Linked DNA regions of Notamacropus eugenii. The protein of the gene in region 2 purifies or fractionates together with the protein of the main gene of each other region. This does not show direct contact. Links are inferred from orthologs where the notes say so. Each region holds a gene or a part of one and is shown on either strand. Other genes may lie near its edges.

Region 1 (7,608 bases), on a different chromosome or scaffold from region 2:
GATGTCTTCTTTGAATACAAAGGACCAACACAACAATAAAAAAAATTATGTCTCTAGGGTTTATTTTCCAGGTCAGTTGATTTTCCAGTGAGATACTTCACACTGTCTTTTATTTTTTCATTCTTTCAGTTTTGTTGTTTTTTTAATTTCTCATAAAGTCATTAGCTTCCATGTGTTCCATTCTAATTTTTAAGAAATTATTTTCTTCTCGCTCGCCTGCCCGCTCTCCCCGACAGCCTCGCGCGCCGTCGCCTCTCTCCCTCGCTCCGGCTCCCGGGAGGAAGACCCTCCTCCGTGCTCTAGATCGCAGCAGCGCCCAGCTGCTCGACTCGCCCTACTCCCCGCTCCCGCCCGCCCAGGGACCACACCGGGCTCCGGATCGTCCGCTTTGGAAAGATGGCCTCAGGAGTGCAAGTAGCTGATGAAGTATGCCGCATTTTCTATGATATGAAGGTTCAGAAATGTTCCACACCAGAAGAAATCAAGAAAAGAAAGAAGGCAGCTATCTTTTGTCTCAGTGCTGACAAAAAATGCATCATTGTGGAAGAAGGCAAAGAGATCTTAGTGGGAGATGTTGGCGTGACCATTACTGATCCTTTCAAGCATTTTGTGGGAATGCTTCCTGAAAAGGATTGTCGCTATGCTTTATATGATGCAAGCTTTGAAACAAAGGAATCAAGAAAAGAAGAGTTGATGTTTTTTCTATGGGCACCAGAACTAGCACCTCTCAAAAGTAAAATGATCTATGCAAGCTCCAAGGACGCAATCAAAAAGAAATTTCCAGGCATTAAACATGAATGTCAAGCAAATGGACCAGAAGATCTCAACCGGGCTTCTATTGCTGAGAAACTAGGAGGGTCCTTAATTGTAGCTTTTGAAGGATGTCCTGTGTAGATGGTCATGTCAGTGCCACAAGGCTGAAAAGCTTCCATGTTTAATGTATCTTCTTGCTAAATATGTAAAACAAATATACTTAGGCCAGGGTTTCACTGAGGGGGAGCTGTCTTGTTCTAGATTAAATGAGATATTATATAAACCTGTATAAAATAACCCTAAATAAATCTAAAATCTAAAAAAAAAAAAAAAAGAAATTATTTTCTTTATTTAGCTTTTGGACCTCCTTTTCCATTTGGGCAATTTTACTTTTTAAGACATCCTTCTCCTCATTGGCTTTTCGGACATCTTTTGCCATTTAGGTTAGTCTATTTTTTAAGGTGCTAAGAAAGGAAGGAAGGAAGGAAGGAAGGAAGGAAGGAAGGAAGGAAGGAAGGAAGGAAGGACATATAGCCAGTAAACCCCAAATGAAGGGGAGAGGAAGACAGAAGGGACAGGATAAGCTGGGTTACCCAGCTAGGTCCCCTCTCAGACAGCTCAATCTACTCACAGGTTGTGTTGGTCCTTCATTTTCAAAGACATGACATCAGAGAAATGATGACATGACTTGCACTTGACTTTGTTTTGAGTGAGGGAGGGCTGTGCAAGGTCATCAGCCTCACTTTCTTTTCCTGTACCATGAGAAAGATAATTTAAAAAATTATTGGACTACTTGAAAGCCATGATCAAAAAAAGGAGTCAAGACATTATCTTGCAAGGAATTATCAAGGAAAACTGCCCTAATACTCCAGAATCAGAAGGTAAAATAGAAATTGAAAGAATCCACCAATCACCTCCTGAAAGAGATCCCAAAATGAAAACTGCCAGGAACACTATAGCCAAATTCCAGAGTTCCCAGGTCAAGAAGAAAATATTACAAACAGCCAGAAAGAAATAATTCAAGTATTGTGGAGCCACAATCAGGATAACAAAATATTTAGCAGCTTCTACATTAAAGGATTGGAGGGCTTGGAATATGATATTTCAGAGGGCAAAGGATCTAGGATTACAACCAAGAATCACCTACCCAGAAAAACTGAGTATAATTCTTCAGGGAAAAAATGGACATTCAAAGAGATAGAGAACTTTTGAGCATTCTTGATAAAAAGATCAGAGCTGAATAGAAATTTTGACTTTCAGATACAAGACTCAAGAGAAGCATGAAAAGGTAAACATGAAAGAGAAATCATAAGGGACTTATTAAACTGCTTATTTTCCTATATGGAAAGATGATATTTGTAACTCATGAGACCTTTCTCATTATCAGGGTAGTTAGAAGGAGTATATATGACAGAGGGCAAGGGTCTGGGTTAAATATGAAGGGATGAGATCTAAAAAAATAAAATTAAGGGGTAAGAGAGGAATGTATTGGGAGAAAGAGAAAGCAAGAGGTAGAATGGGGTAAATAAACTCACATAAAAGAGACAAGAAAAATCTTTTAAAGGGAAGAGGGGGTAAGTGACAGAGAGTGAGTGAATACTACTGTCATCAGAATTGACTCAAAAAGGGAATAATATACACACTCAAGTGGGTATGGAAATCTATCTTACTCTAAAGGAAAGTACGGAGGAAGGAGAAAAGAAAAGAGAGGGCAGATTGAGGGAGGGGGTAGTCAGAAGAAAACACTTTTGAGAAAGGACAGGATGAAAGGAAAGAGAGAATAGAATACACAGGAGAACAGGATGGAGGGAAGTACAGTTAGTCCTTCACAACATGACTTATGGAAACATTTTACATGACTATACATGTATAATCTCTATCTAATTGCTTGCCTTCTCAATGTGGAGGGAGAGAATTTGGAACTCAAAGTTTTAAAAATGAATGTTAAAATTGTTTTTACATAAAACTGGGGGAAAATATAATGCTAATTTTAAAATAAAAGGAGATGGGCCATCTCATCAAGTGAGACAGAGACAGTGGCAGAAGTAGTGGAAATAGTGGCAAAAGGCATCTGGGTGATATGTGATGAGGAGGATGAGAGAAAAAGGAGATAATGTCAGTGAATGGCCTTAAGTTTTAGTAAAATATGAGATAAGGTTCTTAGCTAAAGGGTGAGGCTTAGGGAGAAGTCTTGAGAGATTTAAGAAGGGCTGAAAAGGTTTGGAAGAGTTATGGTAGTGAGTGGAACTGTGAATTGTTAATCAGAGATGTATAAAAGGATTGCCTAGTATTAGTGAAGACCTAGTTGAGATTATGTAACATATATTTGTAGTAGCCCCAGGCAACATAGTTTCAAGTTCTGTGATTTTCTCCAGCTTTATACAGTAGCAAATGTGTAAGAGGGAATCCAAGTGGGAGTGATCCAAGGCTGAGGCTTGGTTGGACAAGATTTGTGATAGGATAAGGGACTAGTCTTTCATGAGAAGGGTTACCCTCCCCCTTGAGAGTGATCAGAGGAAAAAGCTTTCATTCTGACCCTGGATTTGTACATGTAGGCTAGATATATTTGAGGGGTGGGCTATAATCTGAAGTCTGGACCACTTTTACAGAGAGTAGGATAATAGCTATGTCAACACCACCAGCAGGACAGCTGGAGGGGAGTACAGGTAAGGTCCAATATCTCTGAGGCTGAATGATCTCTGCTCCAGCTTTCAAAAGCCGTGTAGCAATAAAAGTATATCTCTAGTCCGGCTCTTAAAAATTCATGCCTTTGCCTCTTGGGAGTCTCTTTCAAAGTTCTCTCTTAAAATGTCTTCAAAGAATGGAAATAAGTCCTTTCCATTGGTACTGTTGTGCTCAGAGTTCCCTCAGCCCCTCAAGAGTACTTCAGGGACATTTAAAAAACATCAATAACCAATCACAGTGCTCAAGGAATGATGACTTCCTGGGGAAGTCATGAGATGAGGCTTAAAGAATAAAAGATTTGGAATACATTTGTAAAGGACCATTGGAGACATGAAGGTACCAAGTGTTGGTGCACATCAATTCACTTCAGAGTTGGGCACCAGCAACTGTCTGCTGTTGGAGAACTGAGCTGCGGAGAAGGAACCCACCTGTGTAGTCTGATTGGAGACTAATGAAAAATAAGGCCAAGGAAAAGGTGGGAACAAGTCTGCTTTGATTTCACAATGATGCATGGGGAGATTATACATTTGTAACAGATAGGAATTCACAATCATCTTTCTTTTCTTATTAAACACACTTTCACATTACTCATGTTACATAGAAGAATTAAAATGAATGGGACAAACCCTGAGAAAAAACTAAACAAAACTACATATAGCACAAGAGAAAATATTCTGCCTCCTTCTGTGATCCAATTCCGCATTCTTTTTCTGGATGTGGATGGCATTGCGCCCCAGTCCACCCGGATGTTTGAAGGTCCCTGCATTGCTGTGAAGGGTTAAGTCTACCAGAAAAGTTCCGGGGGCCCCACAATCATCTTTAGGTGGCTTCTCATAAATGAGCTGAAATAGTCCTAAGCCATTCAGTATCTGGCATCCCAACCAGCTCCTGGGGAAGGTCTTGTAAAAGTGAAACAAGGAAGCCACGCTGAGCAGGGAGCCCAAAGGCCAGCCTAAAGAAGAGATGAATGAGGTGGCCGTCTAGACCTGTTGTTGCCCGGGTTACAACATCCCCAGACAAAAATAAGCCGGCGTCGATTAGCGATGTCTGCCCCGGGAATCTAGGAGGAGAGGGAAAGACCCCCGACTCGCTTCGCCCGCGGGAGCGGTGGACGGGAGGGCCTGGTTTCCTCTCTCTCGTTTTCAGAATGCGGGGAAGTTCGCGCTTCTCGGCGCTCGATTGGCCGCGTCTGTCCGGTCTGCCGTGTGATGTCCGGGAGGGAGGGAAGATGGCGGCGGTAGCTGCTGGTGGCCTAGTGGGCAAGGGACGGGACATCAGTTTGGCGGCCCTGCAGCGCCATGACCCCTATATCAACCGCATAGTGGACGTGGCCAGCCAGGTGGCCCTATACACTTTCGGCCATCGGGCCAACGAGTGGGTGCGTGAGGCCGCGACGGGGCGGCCGAGGCCGACTCGGGCTGGGGGAGGGGCTGGGCCTGCGCGGCCTGGCCCCGGGGCCGGGGGCCGGGATCCCCGCTGGGACTGGAGGCTTGAGGCCGGCGGGGGCGGCGGAGGGGAGGGAGCGAGCCGACGACCTCGACCCCCGGGGCGGGGCGAGGCGGGGGCGGGGAGTTCAGGCCAGGGTCGGGGAGGGACGGTCGTCCCAGCCCAGGGGGGCAGGACCCAGCACTGACCCTTAGGAAGAGCGACGGCAGCTAAGCGTTTATAGTAACCTCAGGCGGGGCCAAACCTCCCTGCCAGGTTAGGGTGATTTTTAAAAAATAAGTTTTAGAATACTGAGTGCCAGCTAAAGGCATAGTCCGGTGATAGGCTCGTTTGGGAATGCAAAGACGAGCTGGACCAAATCCCAGCCCCAAAGTACAAGTAGGGAAAGGGTAAAGTTGGGGGAGAAGTCTGGCCTTTATTTCTGGGGTCAAGAGAAATCCATCATGCTGGAAGTTTGATGCTACCAGGAGTGAAATGCATGGTAGAGGGCTTGAAGTCAGCAGACCTGGGTTCAGATTCCAGCAAGAGAAATACGAAGCTGTGTGACCCTTGGCCAGCCATGTAAACTCTGAACCACTGTTTCCTCTGCAAAACGGGATAATAACGATCAGATGAAATAGGTAGTACAGGTATTAATCATCTATTTTTACACAGACCCAACATTTTCCTAGGTGGTAATTGTCTGAGTCAGAAAGAACTTTAAAACTTCCAATAGGTATTCAATAAATATTTCTTGAGATTGTTAATTTTTTTACTGGGATAGGAGACTAGAGGAATTCTGTAGATATGTAGGTGCTTAGATTTAGTAGAGTGTTTCACACACTATCTCATGCACTTGTGGAAAAGGTGAAGAAATGTAGTCTAGGCATGGTCTAACGTTTTGTCATCAACTTGGAAAGTCTTTAATGAAGTGCTCCTGGGATCTGTCCTTGGTTCTGTGCTTTAAATTGTTTATCACTGACTTGGATAAAGGCATAGATGACATGCTTATCAAATTTTCAGATGACACAAAACTGAGAATTAATGACACTAGTTGAGAGGCATGAGATTCAAAAAGAACTTGGTGGTCTAGAGCATAGGGCTGAATCTAATAAGATGAAATTGAATAGGAATAAATGGGAAGTTTTCCACCTGGACTGCAAAAATGAACCTCACAAAATTAAGATGGAGCAGGTTTAAACAGAGAGCTATCCAAATTTGCAGTGAGATTCTGTATATGTAAGAGAAAGGAGTTGATTTCCTTTTATTTGACTTTTTTATGTAAAGGCTGGATGAGAGCACTTGGTGGATATGATTTAAAGGGGTTTTGTTTTTTTTTTTTCAGTTATTGATAGCCTCTAAGGTCCCTTCTGATTCTGTTGTGAAATTCCTCCACCCCAGTCCTCCAGCATATAATCTGCCTTTGCCTAAGACAGTAATAACATTGCCATGATTTCTGCCTTTCCGTTATGCCAACAAATATTTCTAGGTAAAAGAATGAAGGTAGGAAGAAAAGACAGGATAAGACTTAAGGCATGGAGGGAGAGAAAGTTGAATGTTTAAAGTGGAGGTGTTAATGCCAGGCTAGTTCTTCCAAATGGGACAAGTTGTATTATTTTCTCTTTGGAACTGAATAATTTGAGTGCCTGAGTATTCCTTGAGTGAATTCCAGTTTCCCTGGCAGTTAGGGGATAGGATGTGATAACTAAGAAAATGTCATTTGTTGAAACATAGAGGTGTGTCTTTCTGCTTTTTGAACAAATTGCTATCAAATTCATATAACAAATGGTCATTCTCTTAAAGTATTGAAAACTCTTGCAACTAAAAGAAAAAAATAGTTCGGCTGTAAAATCTGAGCATATGATCAATGGGAGTTCATAACAATTGCCACTACTGTCACCAACTTCTGCCACTGTGGAATCTTTTGAGCGTGAAACTAGAGAAAACAGAAAATATTTGAGAGTTAAAGAAGAAAGTTTGCAGGAAGACAGGTGGATGCCCAGGGGACCAGTTACTGCTGTAAGCAAAATAAATGAGGACTGACCTAATTAAACAAGAAGACAAGTAGGGATTGGGGAGGAAGAATGGGCAAAGAATGAAGTTCAGTTAGAAAAGGAAATGAATGCTTAGGCATTGTTAAAAACATGTAATTTCCCACTGGACTAGGATATTTAAGGCAAGATTTCCTCACAATTGCCAAGAAGGCCTGTATCACACAAATATCTATGCAGCATTGAATGGTATACCGTGATGATTTTTTTCCCCCAGTTCTAATCATTTTCTGTTAGGACTGGTCCTCTTTGCTCAGAGGGATAATTTAAGCCCTGTGTCTCATCATTTGAGACTGTAATGACTAATGACATAAGTTAAAGTTATGTGAAAAGCCTTAGATATTTTAGTCTTGATGTCTGATAAGTCCCAACAGTTTGTAAAACAACAGAAAAATTTATTCTGTGGTTTATTTTTTTTTTATTTTGAGCTGCTTAGTATTTAACACAATTTGGCCTTTATAATGAAATTCAGTTAAAAAGATTAGATGCCATATTTTAACATGAAATCAAAGATTTACTCATTGAAACAAAGGTAGGCTATTTCTAGATGGAACAGAAATCTGTTTTAAACAACATATTTCCTTTTGCCATGAAGTTCACTAAAAGAGTATTTTGCCTTCTGCTGATTTGTATCCTTTGAACCTGAGTAGAACAGCTATTTGCATTTTCAAAAGATGTTTTATCTAAGTAGCCT
Region 2 (7,555 bases):
CATCTCTTACCTCTTCATGGTCGTGGTCATCCTCCTCCTGGGTGCATTCCAGACTGTTAATGTCCTTTCAGATTGACAGTTCCAGAATCAGACACCATTCTCTAGCTATGCGATGCCCACAACAGTTTAAAATGATACTATCATTCCCCTCATTCTGGGTGCTACACCTTTATTATTTAAATTTTCAGTCGTAATGTTTTTAGAGCACTTTCCTTTCACATTTTCTCCCTCTTTCCCACTCCTCCTCCACTCATTGAAAAGGTAAGTAATGTATCATTTATACAAGTGATGCAAACCATATTCTCCATGTTGCAAAAAACCCAAACAAACCCCCAAATAAAAAACTCGACAACCTCTTTTATTAAAAGCAAGAAATGTACAGAAAGTGAAAAACTTATACTTCAGTCTGCACTCAGAGTTCATCTGTTCTCTCTCTGGAAGTAGATAGTATTTTTCATCATGGGTCCCTTGAAATTGTGTTGGATCATTGCACTGATCAGAGTAGCTAAGTCTTTCACAGTTGATCATTGTTACAATGTTGCTGCTGCTGTGCACAATGTTCTCTTGTTCATTTCACTTTGCATCAGTTCATATAAATCTTCCCAGCTTTTTCTGAAACTGTTCTGCTCCATCCTTTCTTATAACACAATAATATCCATCACAATCACATGCTACAACTTGTGTATCCATGCCCCAGTGGATGGGCATCCCCTCAATTTCCAATTCTTTGCCATCACAAAAAGAGCTGCTATAAATATTTGTGTACATACAAGTCCTTTCCCCTTTTCTCTGATCTCTTTGGGATATAGACCTAGTAGCAGTATTGCTGGGTTGAAGGGTATGTACAATTCTATAGCCGTTTGGGTGTAGTTCCAAATTGTTCTCTAGAGGTTGGACCAGTTCACAACCACAGTTGTATATAGTAATGTACGTAGTACATTAGTGTACCTATTTTTCTACAGAGGAAGAAAATTTTTAAAATTAAGCAAACTGCTCAATACAAAGATATATGCAATGTTCCACCTGCATGGATACCTCCTCCCTCTACTTCTACAAATAAGAAAAATGCATTTACTCATCTTTTCTTCAGTGCCAAACTTGGTTATTATAATTATATGGTGTTGCAGTTTTGGTTATTTCTCCCTCTGGACCCATTAATTCTACAGATGAAGAAACTGGAGCCTAAAGAAGGAAAATGACATGCCCAAGGACATATAGGTAGTAAACAGCAAAATTATATTTTGACCCCATATTTTGTTTCCAGATCTTGTACTGTTTCTTTTTTCCCCCAACATTCCCTTTTATAAGATTCTGAGTTCCAAATTTTTTTCTCCCTCCCTTACTTCACCCTCCCCAAGATGGCATGCAATCTGTTATAGGATATACTTGCAAATCTTGTACTCTATTATACTAGTCAAGTCAGCTATGACCTGAGAATGCTGCTAAGAAGAATCAAGGCAAGCCTTTGTTCCTCTCAGGCAGAGGTTCTTAACCTTTTCTGTGGAATAGACTCCTTTGGCTGTTTGGTGAAGTACATGTACTGCTGAAAGTCTGTCTTTAAAAAATTGAAGAAAATTCTAAATTTCAGTTTGTTGTTAGTGAAAGTAAAGATATAATTTCTCTCCCATCCAAGTTCCTGGACCCACTGAAATCTGTCTGTGGACCTGAGATTGAGAACCCATGATCTAAGAATCTGGAACTCCAGTGTTGAGGTGATCCTGTATATGTGATAGCAGCGATTCTTAGATTCTCACCCATAGTTTCTGTGACTTGTTGGATGCACGAACCCTGAGGTCAACACATTGGCCTGATTTGTAGACCCGAAGTCTCTTTATGTCCATTCCAGTTTCAATTAGAATGTGATCAGCTGCCCTGCAGAAGGAGGGTCATAAACCACATAAATCTCCAATTATAATGTTAATATGAGGAAAGTGCTTTGTATACCTTAAAGTACCACGTAAACCCATATCACTGTTATTAGGCTATCATGAAGCTCCCTGCTTGATATCTGGCTTATTGGTCAATCAGCTTCTGTGTGATTTCTTCCATTCCCAAAATTTGGATTTTTAAAAGAACAAGATACAACTGTCACATTATTCTTTGTAACCACTTCTAAATATCTCCAAAAGCTGATTAATATAGACTTTCTGAAATGTGCATTTAATTAGGTTTTGTCTTCATTTTTAGGAGCACTCCCAGGAATTTGTCCTTCTCACGAGTCTGTGGTTGCCATGATCAACAGGATGGAGGAGAAACTGATTTAGGAAGAAATTGGTGGCAAAAGAGCAGGGAGGTTGAGAGGTCCTTTCATCTCGGACACTTTCCTGGAACAGAGATTCACAACTGAGGCAGCAAACCCAATTCTTTTTCATCGTTATGTTAATAACAATATTGACAACTGATTTTTATAGAATGCTTTTTCACCATTTAAACTTTTCACTGTTTCACTAGAAAGTAGTTGTATTTTTGGGGGGTTGATGATACAGGCTATGCCATTTATAGTTATTATTTAGAAACATTACATTTATCCCTTTTTGAAAAGTTTAACATTTTAGTTTCTAATTGAATAGCTTTCTGGACTGATGATACCTTGGGTTCCATTCCATTGATTCGTCAGGGTTAGGGAGCCTAGGTTCAAATCCTGCTTCTCCCATTCGGTATTTGTCCTTCATGGTTGAACAGGACCAAAATGGCACTGCTATGTCAGAGTCAAGTGACAACTATCCAGCTGTGGATCAGACCAATATGAGCTGGGAATGTTCTACCACAGGTCGGGCACAAATAGTCCATGGGAACACTTGGAGTGGATTCTCTAAATTTGCCCATCCCAAATTTCATTTGAGCTACTTTAATTCTGCTTTGCTCATAGACCACAGCACTTTCTCTGATGAGAACATGCCATGCTGGGCAGTCCTGTGTCAGTGTCTTCCAGGTCACCCATTTATTACCCATAAAGAAGTGTTTAATTGTTCTTTATCTCCGTTTTCTCTCATGTGTGGAAGGCCTGAGAGGGTTGGGCTGCTAACTTTAAACTTTTTCAAACTTTTTGGTTTTAGGATTCCTTTACACTTTTAAACATTATTGAGGATATGCTAAAGAGCCTTTTTTAAAATGTAGCCTCTATCTTTGGTATTTGCCATATTAGAAACCAAAACACTTTAGTATTATGAAAATAGTTGTGATCTCAAGGACTTCTCTTTTTGAAAATCTCTGGTTTGGATGATTTTCCACTTCTCCTCAAGTTCTGTGTAATCCCCTGGGTTTTGCACCTTAAGTTTCTGTATTCCTAAAATGTGAGGGTTGGCTTTAGATGACCTCTGCCATCACCTGAGAACTCTCCCCAGTTCTAAGTGGCTGCCATCTTCTTTGAAATCCTAGCTCTCCTTCAGGCCCCGGTCAGCCTCCCTCCTCTAAGCAGGCCTCGGTGTCCCCCACAGCTGCCATTCCACTCTGGCTTTCATCGCACTTGGGGCACTTGTGTATAATGGTTCTGGGTTGGAGGGTTTTGTTTTTTGGGCTTATTTCTTCTGCTACATTTTAAGGTTCTTGAGGGTAGGAACTTCACTTTCTTTTTTTTTTTAAATCTGGTCCGTACCCAGGATTGCAGAAGAGGCTCGAGCAACGATAAACGAACGCCTGCATGTAAAACCCATTCATTTGTCCGCTTTCGAGCCAGCCTAAACTGGGCGCAGGAAGACGGTTGGACTTACAGGGGACACGGTCACGGGGGATCTTTCACGCGCGGTTATGGAGCCCGGTGTGCCAAGCCTTGGCTCACATCCAGAGGGGGGGTCCCTCGTCCCCCTCTCTCACCTCCGGCCCTTCCAACTCTTCCTCATCATCCCCTGGCAAAGGGCACGCGAGGCTCCTGCCAACATTGGGGGGCAGTCACATGCTGCGGGAAGGTGGGGGGGCAGACCCCGGCCCAGGAACAAAAGGAGGGCGTGTGTGGTTGTGAGCCCCAGCTCCCTTTGGGGGGTGCAGAAGCCGCAGAGCGCGGCGTGCCCGGCCCGGGATGGCAGGGGCGATGCCACGAGCGCAGGGGCAGGGCACGGGCGGCACGGGCAGCCTGCCGCTTTCTTTCTCTTTTCCCCGGCCACCCCGCTCGCAGCGGGAAGGGGCTTCGGGGGTGATCGGAGGCCGCAACCGTTACGGAAACACGCCCTAGGTGGCTCGGCGAAGGGGGGACCAAACTTGGGGGGGGCCCCTAGCGCCAGCTCTGGGGGGAAGGGAGAGAGGAAACGTCGGTTGGAGACCAGGAAGTAGCGGGGGTGGGGGAAGGCCGAGGAGCGGTTTGTGGGGGAGGGGCCGGGCGTGGCTCGCAGGCCGAGGCCGGGGTCGCCGCCCTTCCGCCCAGCCGCCCTGGCTGCGCGGTCCCGTTCTTGCGTTCTCTTCCGCCTTTCCCCCAGCCCCTCCCTAGAAGCGCGTGCCCGGCAGCGGGGCACGCGGACGGGGCGGGGCGCGTCGGGCGGACGCGCAGGGCGGGGCGCGGCCGGGGAAGGAGGCGGGGCGCGGCCGGCGCAGGGCGGAGCGCTCCGTGCGTGCGTGCGTGAGGCGCGTGGGGCGCGGCGCGGAGCGCGCTGTGCGCCAGGCGGATGTCCGGGCCGGCCGGGCCGGAGCTGGGGAAGGAGATGGCGGAAGGCGGAGGTTGCGGGCAGCGGCCGGACGCAGAGACCCAGAAATCCGAGCTCGGGGCCTTGATGAGGACGGCGCTTCAGCGAGGGGCGCAGTGGTGAGAGCCCGAGCCGCAGCCCCGGCGGGCATGTGGCCTGGCCCCGGCCCGGCCGCCGCTGCCGCGGTCCTCCCTGCCCGACCCAGGCCCTCGGCCCAGACGCGGCCTGCCGCTTCCCTTTCCGTCGCTCCCTCCCAGCCGCTGCCTTTCCTTCTGGCCGAGGCTAGTCTCGTAGATCCCCTTCCCTAGCCCAGCCCAGTCCCGTGGCCTGCCCGTGTTCCACCCCGGCCCAGGCCTGGCTCCGGAGTCTTCTCCATTACCCTCCCCCTGCCTCATCCACCGACCCTTCGTTCCCTTGTCCCCAGCCCCGGACGGCCCCCAGAGGCCTTTTGTCCTCCCTTCCCCAAGTCCAATGAGGCTCTTACGATCCCGCCCTAAATCATTCCCTTCTGCTTCCTCCGCCCTTTTCCGGGAAGCCTCTTACCCTGATCCTTCTCTAACCTAGTGCCTGACACTTAGTGGGTAGGCATGTAGCAAATGCTTGTCGCCTTCCTCCTTCGACACGCCCCACGTTTCTTTCCTGTTCCTCTCGAAGGTTTCACATCTTCGCTTGTCATGTTCTGGATCTTCAGTTTCCTTATTTTCCCTTATCTTTCCCTATCCCAATCCCTCCAGCTGAGTAATTTTGGACCCTTTAACGTTGAAACTTCTCTGGGAGGTGCCGTATTGCAGAGGGTAGTAACCCTCCGTTTCTGTGGCATGAGCACCCCGGAGGAAAGTAGCTTTGAGGGGAATTTTGAAGGGAGTGTTTGAGGAACTGGGTGCTGAGTAATCATAAACTGGTGCTCCTGGGAGTGGGAGCTGGAATAACCAGAGGTAGTAGGAATGAAGAAACTTCTTTAAAAGGAGGGCGTGGGGAAAGATGAAAGAGGATGTCTCTACCACTTGATTGGTTGAGGACTTAGAAGCCCAAGACAAGTAACTTGCATTAGTGGAAGGATTGTGGGAACTGTGAGGTGTTTTGGAGAGAGAATTGGTAAAATTCTCAAAAATAATTTTGGCAACTACATTTTGGAGTTGGAGAAGAAAGTGTCCAGGAAGCAATATTGAGTTGTGTTCTAGATATCAAGTGACCAAGGCTTACGTTGGGATTGATGATTGGGTTTTTTAGAGGAAGAAATGGAGCCATGAGTTCTCATGGTCCTGATGGTGTAATGGATGGATGATGGTATGACCAAATGAGGTAATATGTACTGTGCTTTGCAAATCTTAAAGCACTATACACACTGTTTAAAGGCTAGCTGTTTTAAGAACAGCTTTTAGCTGTTATTAGCTTTGACTGATGAAGAGCTAAATATAAAGCTCAAGTTTTGTCAGTAAAAAGGAATGGAAGTGATGTAAGATTGAGAGTGTGAATATGTCTTGCACACATTGGGTGTGTGTGTTGGGCTGGACTTGTAATTTAAAGTGTGTTGTGGATATTTTCTTACCAACAAAGAGAGTTCAGAGAATTGTCTGGAGCTTTTAGAATTTAGGTGACTTGCTCACGGTCACACTGCTAGTAAGTGTTGGTGGCTGGATGCCTTTCCCCCTCTCCTTTTTTCTGACTCCTTGGCTTTCCATCTATCTGTTGGCTCTCAACCCACAGCCACACTGCCCATCACTTTGCACTTAATGAGTTTGTTGAATTGACTGACATGATGTAAAGTAATAGGTAAGTTAGAGAATTTGCAGTGCGCTGTTAGCTCAGAGTAGCACCACCAAACCAAGCTAGCTTCAGGGATAGGTACATTTAGAAGGTGTTTGTGTGGTGATAATTCAGAAGAGATTCTAAAGACAAAAAGACCCTGGAGAGTTAGAAGGTGAACCAAGGGATGCCATTGTTTCCTCGAGAAAAGGAAATTTATTATGTTAACAAAACCCTGAATTTTGAGTAGCATTTTGATGAGGCTTGTGAGGAAATAGATAAGATCTTTCTAAAGCATGCCCTGCATCATACTGTTAGAATCACACAAAAATTTTTTAAATGCAGATTTTCCTTTTTCAGAAGAAGTGAATGAGGTGGTTAGGATGACAGGCAAAGTACGTTACATTTATTATACATTTATTCATTTTCTGCTCTCTGCTAGAGCATTGTGATAAACAATAGAAGGGATGTTCAAAATTGATGTAGAAGACAGACCCTTCCCTCATATAGCTTCTAGTTTAACCAGACATTAACACTTCCAAACACATTGGGGAGGAACTTCAGTAGGACCATAGCAGTGTCCTAGCCTTCATTGCCTGACACACAAAAAAACTGATTACAGAATAATGCATTTGAGGTTATTTAATCATAAAAATTATTCATTACTTTCTAGAATATACGTGTGTCACAATTCAAGTAGGAGGTTAGAAAGCTGAAGTTTGGTAGTGCATGCTAAACTTTACCATTGTATGACCTGAATTTGCTTGGAGAATTGTATATGAGGATCTGATATAGTTCCATCTATACGGTAGTTACTGTTAGTTGATTGACTGTATTAGTGAAAAAGGAATACAGGAATGTACTAGGTTTTCACTGATCTAGGTGGATGAAAATAGTTCTGTGGTTTCAATTTCTTCCCTGAACTCATTAGCTTTCCATAAATCCTGGGGGATATACCTCAGAAACTTGTGTTTTGCAGCTCTACAGAGTTTTTTCCCTCCACATTTAGTTGTAATATTTATTGAAAATGCTTAAAACACACACATGCCCCAGATTTGCTAAAATTTCCCTAACTATAAAAAGTAGCAGATTGAATGTAAAATGATAATTATATAGCTTGGCAAGAGGAAGGGAGCACAATTGGCACATTTCTATAAATACTAAACGCCTTACTTAATGCAGCATGTTCTATTTGA
Region 3 (7,913 bases), on a different chromosome or scaffold from region 2:
GAGCTATGTGTCAGCAATTTGCATCCTTGAATATTCCACTCCTCTCCCTATACATACTATTGCAAACATTGTTTCTACAATTTCTGTTATAACATTAAAGCGCTTAAGGGTATAGTGGGGGGAAATGCCGGAACTTGGAGTCAGAATGACTGAATTTGAATCTTCACTTGTTATAAAACAGTTATGTAACAATAGACTTCTGTTTCCTCATCTGTAAAATAAGAAGTTAGTCTGGATGACCTCAATCAACTCCAGATTCATGATCCTAGAACTCATTTCCAGGTGCTTCCCCCTGCCTCAAGCAGTTATCCTCTTGTCTTTTTTTTTTTTTTTAACTTTTCTTCTGCAACAGTGCAAATAGCTCTAGTGCATAACTCGCTTTAGGATTAGTAGTTCTGTCTGGAGATAAAAAGCACTCATTAGTTTCTCTTATCTTTCCCTTAGGTCATAGTCTTCTTCATACCTGGTTTAAAATAATATGAAACAAAATTCTTGTAGTTTCCAGTAGTTCTTCCACGGAAGTCCTTCTCTGATGCTTCATCAAGTTCTGGATGAGATCCTGAGCTCTCAAAGGCTAGGCAAGCAGAATACAAGTTCTGGCAGGTCCTTCCAAGCTAGAAAAACTTTAAGTCTGGCAGGTGAGAGACTGTAATCTATTGTGGATCAACTAGTCAGGCCAAGTTTGAAGGGGACCTATTCACCAGGCTGGCCACAAGGTGATAAATTTCTTGCCTACAACAACACTTTAAGACCATTAGCTAAAGTTAAAGAGGGATCCAATCTAATGATAACAATGATGATGACGGTTTATATAGTACTTACTGTGTGCTAGAGCTAGACACTGTGCTAAGCTTTTTATAAATACCTTTTCTTTGATTCTCACAACTAACCCTAGGTGGTTGTTGTTAGTTGATTGAGTCATGTGTGACTCTTTGTGACTCCATTTGAGATTTTCTTGGCAAAGACACTGAGGTAGGTACTATTGTCCCCAATTTACATTTGAGGAAACTGAGACAAACAGAGGTTGTAAGTACTGAGAAAGTACTCAGGGTCACCAAGATAGTTAGTGTCTGAGGCCATATTTGAAAAGTCTTCCTGACTTCAGACCTAATGTTCTGTCTACCGTACCACTTCAACGTCTCAGTCTGGTATGGAGGGTGTGGGATGTGGAAGGTGGAGAATGGGGTGGGGTAAGACACACAGCAGTGAAATCATGAATTCTTTAAGAAATTAAATAAATGAAACTAACTAATTATAAGGATATAAGTTAACCATGTGCAACTTAAATTCAGAATAGTTCATATCTTCTGTACATATATATATATACACACACATGCACACATACACATATTTGTATGTATATGTATTGTTTGTTTGTTTTAAACACCAGGTATTAGATCTGACAGCTTAAGTCAGGATTTTTCGATGTACTAACTGGCACACAATAATGCTAAAGCAGTAACTCCCAAAACTTCTCTGCCTCCAAGGAAACAATTGCCTACACATGTACCTCCAAAATGATAAAGGGAGATAATATACTTCAGCTTCCTGGGGGAAAAAGAGGAGGGGAGAATTAGATCATTTTAATTCCAGAGAAGGAATTCATAAAGCTAATGAATTTCAGACATTGATCTCAATTCTGAGTTTTTATGAAGTCACCATAATTTACTTGTATCTTACCTAATCTACCTGTATCTTAATACTTTTGTTCTATTACCCAAAAAAGACCACTGATATATTTGAATACAGGCAGAATTATCTTTTCTCATTTCATTAATTAGCACTTCATTGTATTCATACAAGTACTTTACAGTCATTTAATTAGCTATAAAACATTCCTTTGAGAGAAGCCCAGAGGCAAGTTATTTAATTTATATATCCCCAAATGGCTGGAATTATAATTCAACTGGATTTTGGGGATCTATAACTGTGGTTTTCTTGAGAAATAACTATAAAATAATCCCAACACTTTCTCATTTTTATTTGATTTTTTCAACCTACTCAGGCTCACCAAGACATAAAATAACACAACATTCATGGGTCTGGTAGCTAATATTACTAGCACCTGCTTTACAAATTTCAGAAATCTGTGAGCACTGGATTTGGAGTCAGAAGACCACAGACCCTTAATTAGCTGTGTGCCTTAGTGGGTGCAAGTAACTTAACCTCTATTTGCTTCAATTTCTTCATCTGTAAAACTACTCCCCAGGATTGTTGTGAGGATCAAATGAGAAAATAACTGTAAAGTACTTAGCACAGTGCCTAGTACCTCGTAAGCACTATATAAATGTTAGTTAGCTCTGATTATGTGCATACTATTGAGCTTTGGAGGATGTAAATGTAATTGGAAGGAAGATTCTAAGGGAATTTACAATCTGATGATCTGGACTCTAATATATATGAATTTAAGTTTAAGGAGCTATCTTTTTGCTTGGACTATAGTCCAAGTAGTCTTTAGTGATGACTTCAGGCTTCTATTTTGCCTTTTCCCTTGTATATAGTTTCTGGAGAGGGCACAAAAAAGGGCTTTGAAATTGCATTTGCTTCCTCAACTCCACGTGGCCTGTAAGCTATCTTCTTTACTCTCGAAGAAAAGTTAAGAAACTGCTTCTTATAATGACTTCTAAAACAATTCCTTTTTTCTTGTTCTGAAACTAGTCATATTGAATCTAGTCCAAATTAGATGATGGCATTACAAGCCACCTTACTAAAAGATGCATAACACCTCTGCTAGAGTACGGGCTTCATGTAACTCAGTTTCCTATGTCACTGTGTAAACTAAGAGAGGAAAAAAATTATATATCCCTCCCCAAAGAAAAAAAGACCCTCTTAACTCTGCTATGTAACATACAACAAGCCCATTAATACAGGATTTCCTTTCTTGACGTAAAGCATTTAACTCCAGTCCTCAAAAATACTTAAGATTTTAATGCTTTCAACTTTGCTTAAGTGTAGCATATTTTATTTAAAATAACACTGTTATTTTACAATTTTCATAAAGAACAAAATAAGCATTATTTAGTCAGTATTCCTTGGCTTAATTTCGATTATTCTTAAAGATAGAAAGCACTTTCTTCATATGCAAGGTGGGTGGCAAACATGAAGAGCACTTTATGTCAGATAAATCTTGCCATAAGTACCATAAAGAAGTGAATATTTTGGGCCAGTGCATAGGATTATTGTACCATAGATAAAAATTTTTAGCTTTTCAAAACGTACCAGCTGCCTTAAGCTTCTCAATTTTTCCTCAAATTAATTATTTCATCGTTTTTAGCAAAACAGATTGGGTTTTGAGATAATGAAATTCTACTAGGTTCTGTTATATCAAACAACTTAAACCTTCTTCAGTCTATAGATGTAATAGTTATAGGAGATAAAAAACCAACTCAAAATTCTCAGCACAATTGTGTCCAGTATCACCTAATTTTGTGTTTGGTATTGGGCTCATTTTCTCCATTATATGTAAAGCCATATATTGAATTTAGCTAGATTATTTTCTAAAATAACTCAAATATCCTGAGAGCTAAAGCTTAAGGAAGACAGTAGTGAAAGAGTCAATGAATACAAAGCTCTTCAAAATTAGGCTCCAACCTGCTTTTTCCAGATTTATCCAGTTAGCTCTTTGACACACACCACCATGCAGAGCCAAACTGGCCATCCTACCCTTCCTCGAACATAGGATACTTAGTCTTTCCACAAATTGCCCCCCAAGCCTGGAATGCACCCCCTATTCACCTCTACCTCACAGAATCCTTAGTTTCTTCCTGTGCTCGCCCCAGATCATCACAGCATGGTGTTTCTCCTGATCACAACCACCTTACCCCCAATATATTAACTTAGAGTTTGTGTATATTTTGTGATAATCATTATATAAAAATATTTTACAGTTCTATACGTTCATACACGAATATAGTCATTGAGGGCATTTCCCTATTATTTTGAAATGTATCCTCCAGACCTGGCAGGGTGCCTGATTCCTAAAAAATGCCCATTTACGATTACTTCGCAATCGAAAGACCAGGGGTAGTCGTCTAACTCCAGTCACTTCCGTCACACTTTGGGGGCCTCCGCTTACTACCTTTACTTCCCAGTAAATCAGATAACGCGCACCAAGCCCTCCGCACATCCTCCATCAAAAGGCCCTTCTTGGGCACGACCTGTAAGACCCACAATTGCCCAGCGCGGGGCTCTCGACCTTTTTGTGCCATACACCTCGTATGCCAGTCTGGTAAAGCCTACGCATCCCCTGGGGTATTTTTTTTAAATACTTTGGTTTTTTAAAATTAGGTTAATTTATAAAAGTAGGAAATGCATTATAACGGTTAGTGAAGAGAAAGATTTCGGCTGTTCGGGTTGACATTTTTTCCCATCCAAGTTCTGATACCTCCTGAGACCTCTGCACAGATGCCCGGGGTTTCTGCCCCCTCCAAGGTATCCCCCAAAGGCCTCTGCCGGCCCGACTTTTCTTCGCCCAAACCGTTAGCGCTAAGACGAAGCCGGCCCCTCGCGCCCCGCCCGCCCTTTTAAGGAGGGGCGAAGGGGCGGGGCCTGGCGCGAGCCGGGGAACCGAGCCGAGGCGGGGGGAGGACGGGGAAGCCCAACCTCGTGACGTCTCGCCGCGTCCCCGATGAAGGGGCGGGGCCGGCTCGGGCCGGCTCTTGGCAGCTCGCACCAGCTATCTTTCCCTCCGCCCCTTCCCCTCCCCCCCAAAAGCGCGGGCTGGCCTCAGGGCCGAAGTTCCGCTGGCCGGGCTCGGACGCTGGGGGAGGGGGGGGAGTGGAGAGGGCGAACGCCTCACTGCAGTCCTGCTCCTTTACCGGGACCGCTTCTCCGTCTTGCCGACGCCCGGAGGTCTTTGTGCGGAGTCCGGCTGCCCCGCGTTTCCCCGGATCTTTCGGTCCCGTTGCCGGGAGTTCCCCCCACTTCCGGTAGGGTGGCGAGAAGCCATCCCCCGTCTCCCCCCACGAGCGCGCCCTGGGGTAAGTGGTGAGTCGGCTTTGGGAGCGTGCTGGGGAGGAGTGGGTGGAGGGCGGGCGAGTGCCAGGACTCGGGTCCCGGCTTATGGTTCAAAGTGATCCCAGAGAGGCTGCCCTGTGGTTCCACGCCTTCGTTTGCCGGATGAGGAAACTGAGGCCCGGAGAGGGGCCGGGCCCGGCCCCGCCCCCTGCCCGTGCCCGCTGCTTACGGGCTTGCCCTCCTGCCGGGCTCGCTGAGGTCGGGGGCGCGGGACCGGTCCGCTGTCCGGTCTTCCCCCCATGAGTGGAGCGACTTGCCAGGGAGACCCGAGGGCGAGAACCCGGCTGCGTGCCCGCGGCGCCCGGTGCCCGGTGCGGGGCGAGCCCTGAGAGCGCCGATGGAAGCTCGTCCGTCAGGGCAGGGTTGCCTTCTCTTTTCTTTTGGTCTTGTAAAGCACTGAGATTGTCTCGTCTCGTCTCAGTTTAAATTAAGTGAGATAACTCCCGCCTCTGTGTCTAGCTCCTTATCTTTGCCCTGAGCTCTAGTCCTATGCAGGCTCTTCATACAGTTTTAAACTAAGCTGAAAAGATGTTTGCGAAACCTTGTTGGACATCTTTAGTGCCTGAATTTCAGTATGTCCTCCTTGGAGCCCCAAACCCTGAATGCCCTTCGAACTGCTTCGTCTGAAGAATTGCCAAGACCTGTAGGTTCTGCCTTGGCAGTCTCTCCAGACCACACGTTACCACTGCCTTAGTTCAAGGCAGTCCCTCTCTCCCTTTACCTTTCTCGTGGACTGTTGCAGTAAGTTTCCTAACTAGTTGCCCTGCCTTCAGTCTCTCATCTCTTTAAAATGTTTTTTATATGTTTGTTAAAATGACCCTCCTGATGCGTTGATCCCATGTTGTCATTCCCCTTTTGCCTGTAGGATAAAATAAAAACTCATTTACCTAGTAGTGAAAGACCTCTAGAATCTGATTCCAAACTACCTTTGCTACCTTATTTCATTCTACTCCTATTTGCTTAGGTGTCTGTACTCCTTCCGGCCATATGCATAGACTGCCCCCCTTGTCTAGAATACAAGAATCTGTAGATTTCTTGTTCACAAACTCTTCTTTCAAGTTTCACTCAGCTCAGGTGTCACCTCTGTGAAGTGTTCTATTACGTACGTGCTCCAGCCCTCTAAAGTGATCTGTTTCTACATTTTGCTTGCCACTTTCTCTAGATCTTTCATATAAGATTTAGTATTAAAAGAGGTCTTGGAGATTTAGTCCAGTTCTTTTTAAAAAATGATTAACCCTAGGCCTAGAAAATACACATGGCTAACGAACCAGCAGAGCTGCAATTTAAACCCAGATGTGCTAACTCTAAATCTAGTACTTCATAAAACTTGTGTATGTGTGTGTATGCTTTGTATACATATAAAGGGTTTATCAAGCACTATATATGCTTGATATATATGATATATATGCTTGTATATACACACACATATACATGATTTATAAAGTCCTTTACCAAAACAGTCCTGCAAGGTAATCTAACTATTTACAGCAGAAAACAGTGCTGGATCAGTCAAATCTTGAATTCAAATATTGGTTCTTGTACTACTTCCTGTGTGATCCTGAATAGATCATTTGATTTCTTTGAGCCTTATTGTCCTGGGTAATTACATGAGGATGTTAGATTAGATGACCTCAAAGATCCTATCCATTCCCAAATCTGTGAAACTCTGATCCCCATTTTACAGATAAGTAAACTGACACGTGACTTGACTATGATTACACGGCTAGTAAAATGTTGGAGCTGGAATGGAACACAGCTCTCCTAACTGCAAGCCTTAACCACCCTTCATCACATGCAGCTGCCTCTAGAGTGAAGGGTAAAGGGTAAGTATCGAGCACAGACTGTGATTGTCTGTCTTATCTATCACATTAGATTGTAAATTCCTCAAGGACTGAGACTTTCATCTATTTATCCTTAGCATCACTGCTTTGCCACCTAGTGGGTCATTAACATATTGGCTAAATTGATAAGGTTCATAATTAATTTTACACTCAAGATAACAGATTAGCACAGTTCTAGGGAATACAAAAGTATAAGACACCACACTTGTCTCATGAGGAACTTAAAATTTAATTGAGGAGGTAGCATATTTTAAATATTTAAAAGAATTTGACAAGGTAAATGCTGTAGAAATTCAGGATAGGAATGGTTCACTGCAAGTTAGAATTTCCACATAGGATCATAGATTTTAGTGCTGAAAGGGAGCATGGGGGCATATTGATAAAGGATTTTAGAATTTATGAAAATAAAATAGGTTATAGTGCAGAGAATACATAATTATGTCTTCTGTAGGATGACTCCTATAAAGTAAATAGCTTTCTTTTATAAACTGTAGTAGGCCTAAAGGATAGGTGGGAGATCCTAAAAGTTTTATCACTCATGATTGTATCGAAATATAGTGCATTGTTTCACAGTTTATCTTTTCAGTTTTATTATCTGAAAAGCATGTTGTGTCTTTTAGAGATACTTAATCTCTATTGCCAAGTACAGAAATTTTGTTACAGAGAATTAGATCTAGCAGCCCATTTAGGTTTTTTTTTCCCCTTGTTTGGGACTATCGATTTCTTTTTTATTTTTGTTCTCCTTTGAACATTTCACAGAATCCACATTTTACTTGTGTCATACTGATCCCCAGGTCATATTCCCCTACTTTCTTGGCTTTTAGTACCAGGTTCACAATATTAATTTCCTTCCCAAATCCTGTTCTACTAGGGGACTTGAATAGCCACAAATGTTCCATTCTCCCAATTCTTCAGTCTCAAGTCCTATAACTCACTTCTTTACCTCAGTCACATATAGGGGGAATCACAAACTAGAATTCATTACTAATCCTCACATACTTCACTTCCCTAATTAGAATCTCTGACATTCCCCTCTCTGACCATAATTCCATATGC

Evidence for each region.
Region 1: the proteins of USP4 (region 2) and DCP1B purify together in Homo sapiens (co-immunoprecipitation; 3 studies listed by BioGRID and IntAct, with this or other methods). This does not show direct contact. The link is inferred for Notamacropus eugenii from reciprocal best matches to the Homo sapiens genes USP4 and DCP1B.
Region 3: the proteins of USP4 (region 2) and RBBP8 purify together in Homo sapiens (affinity purification with western blotting; 3 studies listed by BioGRID, with this or other methods). This does not show direct contact. The link is inferred for Notamacropus eugenii from reciprocal best matches to the Homo sapiens genes USP4 and RBBP8.

Annotation. Positions count from the first base shown.
Region 1 is NC_092874.1:205,635,680-205,643,287, reverse strand, and holds the start of DCP1B (mRNA-decapping enzyme 1B), read left to right. Parts: upstream 1-4,666; coding exon 4,667-4,816; intron 4,817-7,608. UniProt on the Homo sapiens protein: May play a role in the degradation of mRNAs, both in normal mRNA turnover and in nonsense-mediated mRNA decay. May remove the 7-methyl guanine cap structure from mRNA molecules, yielding a 5'-phosphorylated mRNA fragment and 7m-GDP.
Region 2 is NC_092872.1:6,873,763-6,881,317, forward strand, and holds the start of USP4 (ubiquitin carboxyl-terminal hydrolase 4), read left to right. Parts: upstream 1-4,495; 5' UTR 4,496-4,595; coding exon 4,596-4,732; intron 4,733-4,738; exon of another isoform or gene 4,739-4,894; intron 4,895-7,555.
Region 3 is NC_092875.1:246,866,882-246,874,794, forward strand, and holds the start of RBBP8 (DNA endonuclease RBBP8), read left to right. Parts: upstream 1-4,841; 5' UTR 4,842-4,979; exon of another isoform or gene 4,980-4,986; intron 4,987-6,700; exon of another isoform or gene 6,701-6,839; intron 6,840-7,913. UniProt on the Homo sapiens protein: Endonuclease that cooperates with the MRE11-RAD50-NBN (MRN) complex in DNA-end resection, the first step of double-strand break (DSB) repair through the homologous recombination (HR) pathway.